Linked DNA regions of Oryza sativa Japonica Group. Each later gene encodes a partner of the first gene's protein in a complex. Links are inferred from orthologs where the notes say so. Each region holds a gene or a part of one and is shown on either strand. Other genes may lie near its edges.

Region 1 (4,590 bases):
CGCGCGAGGGGGGGAGGGGGAGGCTTAGGTCACTGGAAGCGACCGCCCGTTGCTGTCGCGGGGGGAGGGTTTCCTCCCCTCCTCGCTTTGCTGCTGCCTCCTGCGTGTGCGCTGCGGCGGCGTCGCTTTCAGGTTGGGTGGGGAATGGGATGCGGCCGTGGAAAGGGGAGACGACGACGACGAACGACGATGACGATGACGACGACGGGGAGAGAGTCAGAGGGAGGGGGGGAGGGGAAACGAGTGGGTTTGGTCTTTTGGTGGCGTTTCGGGAGTGGTGAGCTCTGGGTATGTACGAATTCCGTTGAATTTTGGATCGAAATTGCTAGAAAACTTTTGCAAGTTCCGTGGAGTTTAGTTCCAAACTTTTTTAAAAAAATTTTTAACTTTCCATCGCATCAAAACTTTCCTACACATACAAACTTCTAACTTTTCTGTCACATCGTTTCAATTTCAACCAAACTTCTAATTTTAGCGTGAACTAAACACACCCTTTTTCTCTCAAAACTTTCAGATTTATGGTCATCGGGTTACTGGAGATTTGTACATTCAAGAGATAACATTGCTACAAAAATATCATACATGTTATGTGCAAGATCTCGGTGCTAGTCAGCCAAACCACGGTTAAATACATGTTTTATATAAGTTATACCGTAGTTACAATACAGTTACAGTACAACTATACTTCAATTATAATATAATTTAATCTCGAAGTTTTACACTTAAAAAATCTACGGCAGTTTTTTACACACTCCAATATTACTCTTGTATAGTACCTAGATGTACTAACTTGTAACGAAATAAAGAGTGTTGTCTGTCTATTTAAAATTGGATACACGAATTTCATTGAAATTGGCATGGAGGCGGGTAATCTTGGTGTTGTGGTCTTGCGGTGGATTGTAACTTGTAAGAAAATGGGGATAGTCGTCTATTTATTTGAAACTGGGTACATAAATTTCGTTAAATTTGGCACCAAGGCAGATAAAATGAGTGAATGTATGCCTTTTTGGGAATTTGAATGAATCTTTCGTCAGATTTATAGTTTGACAATTTCAGTTAAAATTTATCTCCCTCGGTTACAAATTTCATCAATTGTTTATGTATCGAATCTTTAATTAAATTGTATTATTCCATCATTTTACTTTAAATGATATCTCTCTAGGCCACAACTTTCATTACATCATTGTCTCGATTTTTATGTACATATAGAAATTGTAGTGTGCTAGCACATATATGTACATAAAAATTGAGATTATGAACTTGGAGCTAGAAACTTGAAACTTAACCCTTTCAGATTATCATCAGCCGACTAATCACAAGCGTCTTATAAGAATCTTTATAAGAATCTCTAGCTCTCTATTTAGGTTATTATCATTGTTGTCGTGATCGTCGATAGCCCATCCTAACTACGCATGTTTTCTTTGTTTATACAATATAAATATGTTTTTTTTCCAATAGATGCAGCAGAGTCATGACCTATGAAATTGATGATACGGCACGGTAAGATTTTATTCGCAACAAATAAGTCGATAAAACAACAAGCCCATCTTAAAAATAAATCCAAAGAAACCCAACCCAAAAGAAGGGAAGGTCAGGCGATGGGCCCAAACACGAGCCAAACAGGCCCATGAGCCCTTGTACGGCCCATATGCAGGTGATCAGCCCACCATGGAACGGCCCACGTAGCCCACCGCCTCTCCTCGCCACCGACTCAATTCACCCAAAGGTCCCAAACCGTCACAAAATAGTTAAACCAATTCCACGATTCCGTATTCTTCCTCACGACCTCAAAAACCCAAACCAATCTACTCCGCCGCCGCCGCCGCGATGGTGTTCGTCCGCGCGCCGGACGGGAGGACCCACCACGTCGACCTCGACCCCTCCACCGCCACGCTCGCCGACCTCACGGCCTCCGCCTCCCGCGTCTGCGGCGGCGTCCCGCCGGAGCAGCTGCGGCTCTACCTCGCCCACCGCCGCCTCCTCCCGGCCGAGCCGTCCCCGCTGCTGTCCTCCCTCCGGGTCTCGGCCTCCTCCTCCCTGCTACTCCACCTCCCCCTGCTCGGAGGGATGACCGGCCCGACGACGACCCCCGCGGCACCCCCGCCCCCGCCGCCGCCGTCGGCGCAGCCGCCCGCCCGCCCCGCGCGCTACGACTTCCTCAACTCCAAGCCGCCCCCGAACTACGTGGCCGGTCTGGGGCGTGGCGCCACCGGGTTCACCACCCGTTCGGATATCGGGCCGGCCCGCGCGGCGCCCGATCTGCCTGACCGGTCCGCCGCCGCCGCCGCCGCCCCCGCCGTCGGGCGCGGCCGTGGGAAGCCACCCGGGGACGACGACGGCGACGACGATGGCGGCGACGAGGAGAAGGGGTACGACGAGAACCAGAAGTTCGACGAGTTCGAGGGCAACGACGCCGGGCTGTTCTCCAACGCCGACTACGACGACGACGACCGCGAGGCGGATGCGGTCTGGGAGAGCATCGACCAGAGGATGGACTCTCGCCGGAAGGATCGGCGGGAGGCGCGGCTGAAGCAGGAGATCGAGAAGTACCGTGCTTCCAACCCTAAGATCACCGAGCAATTCGCTGATTTGAAGCGTAAGTTGGTCGATTTGTCGGCGCAGGAGTGGGAAAGCATACCTGAAATTGGGGACTACTCGCTGCGCAACAAGAAGAAGCGATTTGAGAGCTTCGTTCCCGTGCCGGACACCCTGCTCGAGAAGGCTCGGCAGGAGCAGGAGCATGTCACGGCACTGGATCCCAAGAGCCGTGCAGCTGGTGGCACCGAGACGCCATGGGCGCAGACTCCGGTTACCGATCTGACGGCTGTGGGCGAAGGTCGTGGCACCGTGCTCTCCTTGAAGCTGGACAGGTTGTCGGATTCGGTATCTGGTCTTACTGTTGTTGATCCAAAGGGTTACTTGACGGACCTGAAAAGTATGAAGATTACTAGTGATGCTGAGATTTCTGACATTAAAAAGGCGCGATTGTTGCTTAAGTCAGTGACACAGACAAACCCGAAGCATCCACCAGGATGGATTGCTGCTGCTAGGCTTGAAGAGGTTGCTGGCAAGCTTCAGGTTGCTCGGCAGCTTATCCAGCGTGGCTGTGAGGAGTGCCCCACAAATGAGGATGTTTGGGTCGAGGCATGCCGGCTGGCCAGCCCAGACGAGGCAAAGGCAGTGATTGCTAGGGGCGTGAAGGCAATTCCCAATTCTGTGAAGCTGTGGTTGCAGGCAGCAAAGTTGGAAACTAGTGATTTGAATAAGAGCAGGGTTTTGAGAAAAGGGTTGGAACACATTCCTGATTCAGTCAGACTGTGGAAAGCAGTAGTAGAGCTTGCAAATGAGGAGGATGCAAGACTGTTGCTTCACAGGGCTGTGGAGTGCTGCCCACTCCATGTGGAACTGTGGCTTGCCCTAGCAAGGCTGGAGACATATGACCAAGCAAAGAAGGTACTTAACAAGGCAAGAGAAAAGCTTCCTAAGGAACCTGCCATCTGGATTACAGCTGCAAAGCTGGAGGAAGCTAATGGAAACACCCAGTCAGTAATCAAGGTGATTGAGAGAAGTATAAAAACTTTACAGAGAGAAGGATTGGATATTGACAGGGAGGCATGGCTAAAGGAAGCAGAAGCTGCTGAGCGTGCTGGATCTGTATTGACTTGCCAGGCTATTGTTAAGAGCACTATTGGCATTGGTGTTGATGAGGAAGACAGAAAACGCACATGGGTTGCCGATGCTGAGGAATGCAAGAAGCGTGGTTCAATTGAGACAGCCCGTGCCATCTATGCGCATGCACTCAGTGTCTTCGTTTCCAAGAAGAGTATTTGGCTGAAAGCGGCTCAGCTTGAGAAGAGCCATGGAACCAAGGAGTCTCTTTATAATCTCCTCAGAAAGGCTGTTACCTACAATCCACGTGCAGAAGTTTTATGGCTTATGAGTGCAAAGGAGAAATGGCTGGCTGGAGATGTCCCGGCTGCCCGAGCCATTCTTCAGGAAGCTTATGCTTCTCTCCCCAATTCAGAGGAGATCTGGCTAGCTGCCTTCAAGCTTGAGTTTGAGAACAATGAACCAGAGAGAGCAAGAATTCTTTTGTCAAAGGCCAGGGAAAGAGGAGGCACTGAGAGGGTCTGGATGAAATCTGCGATTGTTGAAAGGGAGTTAGGGAATGTAGACGAAGAAAGGAAGCTGTTGGAGGAAGGTCTGAAGTTATTCCCCTCATTCTTCAAGCTGTGGTTAATGCTTGGACAAATGGAAGACCGGCTTGGCCATGGATCCAAGGCAAAGGAGGTTTACGAGAATGCACTGAAGCACTGCCCGAGTTGCATCCCTCTTTGGCTCTCTCTAGCTAATCTAGAGGAGAAGATAAATGGCTTGAGCAAGTCACGTGCTGTCCTCACCATGGCAAGAAAGAAGAACCCAGCTACACCTGAACTCTGGCTTGCAGCAGTTAGGGCTGAATTGAGACATGGGAACAAGAAGGAAGCTGATGCTCTACTAGCCAAGGCATTACAGGAATGCCCGACAAGTGGTATTTTGTGGGCTGCAGCTATAGAGATGGTGCCACGTCCCCAGCGTAAAGCAAAGAGC
Region 2 (4,394 bases), on another chromosome or scaffold:
CTTTGGAGCAGCAGATGGTGTTCTTTGCTCGATTAGTCGGGAATTTTAAGGTGGCAGATGATATAACTCCAATCAAGATCGAAAACTTTGACTGATCGCTCGAAGAAAGTGTAGCAGTAGCTTACATTTCGTGGAACATGACCTCTTACAGTTTGCATCTGTTTGAATTGTCCATGTACTCCGACTAAATGTTCATTAAAATCAATCAATGTTGGAGTCTGGGGCAATGGAATCGCATATTTGAGTTTCGGAAACTCCAGAAATCGCCCATATTAGGCAACAGGAGACACATCCATACCTAACTTTATTTTAATAGACCATTATTTCTTCTGAGACAAGAGTCATCTATAACACAAACATTCGGCCGGGTTTTTTTTTTTTTTTTTTTTTTTTGAGAAATAATAGCCTGGGATGGACTTGAGACAAGTTCGGAATGCAGGAAAATTTCTAATTAAACTGAAGTCTGCATGTTAGCTTAAATATAAGCCTTAGCCAAAATTTTAATTTTGATACTTGGTTTTGGAGTTCTTTCATCGTATTCTATTATCTAGCCTTAGCTTTTAAGTTGCCGAGAATAGATATAAAAGTTTTAACCAAACTCTAATTATTTGAAACAATTTTAGTTGCTCCGTTTATTAATCTAAGGCTTATTAGCTGTTGCTACTAAACTATCATCGCCTTTGTCCAAAATGCAGTTCGTGTACGAAGCGGACAGAAATCCGATTTTTTTTTTTTAAAAATAAATTTCATAGTATTGTAATTATTTGGTCAAAATTATTATTTTGCTATCTACAAAGCTACAATAATAGTGAATGATTTTATTAGAAAACTATAAAATTATATCGTTTTAGTGTATGTAACACGTGAACCCAATATACAACAACATGAGTATTCATATATGAGTATTCATATATGTATGATAGGTGGATCGAAACATTTTGAATTTTTTTTCCTAGTTGATTACATTTGTAGAAAAATAAAATAATATTTTTTACATAAAACAAACCTATTATCAAAATATATTAAATATTAGTTTTAATAAAACTAATTGGTGTTATAAAATTTATCAAACTTAAAAAAGTTTGACTAATTAAAAAAATCAAAATAACTTATAATATAAAATGGATGGAGTAGGATATAAAGTTGCAGCTTTCTAATAAATCATATGTTATTGTTGCAACTATCCGAAATGCTTGATTAAAATTGAGTTTCGATAAAAAAATAGTTGTTGTGTTTCTTTTTGTTTTCGAAATTTACTCGGAAGAAAAATCACGTGTTTAAACTTCAAACAAGGCATGAATTTGAATTATGAACGTCTGGAATCCGCAGCTTCTCCCCCTCTCCGGCGGGCCCACATCCCGCAGAAATACTCCTCACCCCAGCACCCTCTCCCCCGTCCCGTCTCCGACTGCGACCAAAAATCCCCCGCTCGCTTGGCCGCTCCGGCGATCCCCTCCCCCGGCAGCGGAGGCGAAGCTCACTGTCGCAATCGGCGCAGCTGAGCGGAGCCCTTGCCCGCCATGACGGAGGTACGCTCTCCCTTCTTCCTCCGCAATTTTCCGGCATCGCGCGTTGCCCTGTTGCCCTCCGCCGCCCGCTGTGGGGATTCGCGCATCGATCTGAACGAAACCACGGTGCTTTTTTCTCCTTTGGGGGGTTTCTCGGTGATGGTCGGCGTCTTCCGAGTGCGAGTTTATACAGGATTAGCTGATGTTTAGGGATTTTGCCTCTGTTAGTCACTTGGTCTCGTGGATTTCGATGAATTAGGGTTAGTTTCGTAATTCGTATGCTGCTTGTGCATGTCCCTGTGTGTTCGGATGCTATGGGAGAGTAGATAGAATATGCGGCTTGGTGAGGCTGGACTGAGGAAGATTTTGCCTCTGGACTGGAGTGATTCCATCTTCATATGGGTGCTTCAGTCATCTTATGTTTTTGTAGATTGAGATAGTTAACCAAATAGGGCTTTGATTCTTTTGGTAGGTTAATGGTATTTTTTAGTACTTGTTTGTATTCAACTGTAATTGAATTTGAAATGCTAAGTGGAGATTAGAGACTGAAAGTCCCAATGTGATGTATCATGGCAATATTATCAATTCTCTTTCTGAATAAATCAGGATACAAATGCCTATTGTGTTCGTTTATAGGAGAATAGTTAGTTGTTTTTTCCTTTCGAAAAAATTCGTGTCCAATCATTCATATGATCTATGTTATGCTCTTAAACTCTGTTGTTGCAAGCATCCAATCCTGCTAATTGACTTTTTGGCATCAATATTTTTTACCATTGCGAGAAAGAGATTATTTAGTCACTATCTGAAAAGGTGACAGTACAAGAAGCAACTGTAGTTTCCTTCTGGTAGGAATACAGGGTCCCTATTAGCCCTTTGAAAGTTATCTGCGATCATCTTCTTTGACATTTAAGTTGTTGTACACTGTCATCACAAGCATCCAACTTTGCAAGTGTTTTTGTTATAAATAACTTTTTCCCCTATCTTTTTCCAGTACTGGGTGAGCCAAGGAAACAAATGGTGTGACTTCTGTAAGATTTACATAGCTAATAACCCGCTAAGCATCAGAACACATGAAATCGGTAAGCGCCACAAGGACAATGTCACTAAAAGATTGGCAACCATGCAAAAGGAGGGTGCTGCCAAAGAAAAGGAGCAGCAGCAAGCAGCCCGGGCCCTCAAGCAAATAGAAGCTGTAAGTTTGTAATGCTGTTTTTTTCCCCAGTATGTTGGTATCCTAATCACCTAATGTACATATTGTTATGTCACAAACTACAGAGCTTGTGAAGGGTAAACACTTCTGCATTGATAAAACCATGTAGGCTTTTTCTTTTTGAATTTATCCTTTCCCTTATTGCTGTGTTGTTTCAATTTATCTTGCAATTGGTTGATTTATGAACTACCATGCCTTGTTATTTGTAACTTACTGTTCACTGCAGAAAGCTAAAAAGAGCTACCAAAAAGATTTAGAGAACAGTCAAAGGAATGTGGACGGTGACACTTCTGCGGCACCTGGAGATGGTGTGTATGGCTCACCGTTGTCTATCAATAGTGTTCTTCAATGCCTGATCCACTGCATAGCCTGTTTTCTTTTGTGCCATTAGTTATCTCTGCTTTGTATAAAAAAAAAATAGGCCTCCATATCTGATGAAGCTATCCCTAAGCGCTTTTATTTGCGAACCCTTTTGTTTAATCCTAAAATATAAAATGAGTCCTTTGGATGAGGTACTTTCTTTTTTTAGTAAATTAGTATGGAGTATTTCTTTCTGCAATTCCAATTATATCAATACTTTAATCCTATTTATTACTCCTGGAATTTTCTATTTATGGGGACAGATAATACCTCACCCTAGGAAGAGCCGTTTTGAAGGATGACTAATTTTTAGAGGATATATGCTTGCTATCTTCCTTCCCGTCCTTTGTTTAGGATAGTGAAAAATATTTTTTCCTTTTATTTTAGGAATTTTGGGAACATCCTACTTCTCTGTTATGCTTTTGTAGGATTTTTTTAGTTGATGGTTAGGTTAATTCACCAATCTTGAGAGGGTTTAGTTGGTCATGATTTCTGTTTTCTCTTTTTGTTCACTATTTTGAGCTTGTATTAACTTGTTGTATTAGTCTTATCTTCTTAATTTTTTCTCCTGCTGATTCTAGTTTTTGACATGCTTGAAATATATTCCAACCTAGCTCATGTAATACAATACCTTGGTTAGCAGAAATGTCTAACTACTGTCAATTTTCAAAGCCTAAAATTGTTTTATCTTAAATCCGTCCTTCAAACATATCTTTCTCTTGGCTCAAATGTATGGGAAAATATGTAACCTGGAAACTACTATAGGATGTAGAAATGAATGTTTGAGATTTGTCCATGTCATCATGAGTAAAACTTTTACTACCAAATTGAGCCGTGAGTAATACTTGCTCTGCTACTATGTTGACGATAAATTTTGCTAACAATTGCATTAATGTTAATGAAATGATGTTAGATTTTCATGAACTGTGCCCTAGCAGAATTATTCTGGTTAGTATGCTTAATACTCTTAAGTCTTTACTGATGATTATATGTCATTAAAGACAGGAGAACAGATGAACAGACCAGTTCCTACCTTTAACTGGAACACTGAGTAGCATGAACCATGATGCACTGTTTGCATATGTGCGCTGATCATTCTGTCCGCCAGCACTACTACAATTTTCGCTATTTAACAATATTTGTTCAATCTGTTAGATAACATCCTGTTTGTGCAGGATGGGAATTCGACTCTACTTCAGGATACTATTATGACAAATCTACTGGACTCTATTTTGACTCAAATTCTGGTTTCTACTATTCTGACGGTTTAGGTACTTCTCTTAACATGTGTATCTGGATCTTTAAGTGGTTATGTC

Evidence for each region.
Region 2: protein STABILIZED1 (region 1) and zinc finger protein ZOP1 share a complex: the UniProt entries of both Arabidopsis thaliana proteins name them as parts of the pre-mRNA splicing complex. The link is inferred for Oryza sativa Japonica Group from reciprocal best matches to the Arabidopsis thaliana genes EMB2770 and AT1G49590.

What each region holds. Positions count from the first base shown.
Region 1 is NC_089044.1:19,704,114-19,708,703, reverse strand, and holds the start of protein STABILIZED1, read left to right. Parts: upstream 1-1,750; 5' UTR 1,751-1,827; coding exon 1,828-4,590. UniProt on the Arabidopsis thaliana protein: Pre-mRNA splicing factor required for splicing and for the turnover of unstable transcripts. May be a U5 snRNP-associated protein involved in the formation of U4/U6-U5 tri-snRNP. Involved in responses to abiotic stresses.
Region 2 is NC_089040.1:6,025,211-6,029,604, reverse strand, and holds the start of zinc finger protein ZOP1, read left to right. Parts: upstream 1-1,395; 5' UTR 1,396-1,520; coding exon 1,521-1,529; intron 1,530-2,499; coding exon 2,500-2,700; intron 2,701-2,944; coding exon 2,945-3,026; intron 3,027-4,253; coding exon 4,254-4,349; intron 4,350-4,394. Other genes in the region: dipeptidyl-peptidase 5, read left to right, coding at 1-95. UniProt on the Arabidopsis thaliana protein: Nucleic acid-binding protein that promotes Pol IV-dependent small interfering RNA (siRNA) accumulation, DNA methylation and transcriptional silencing.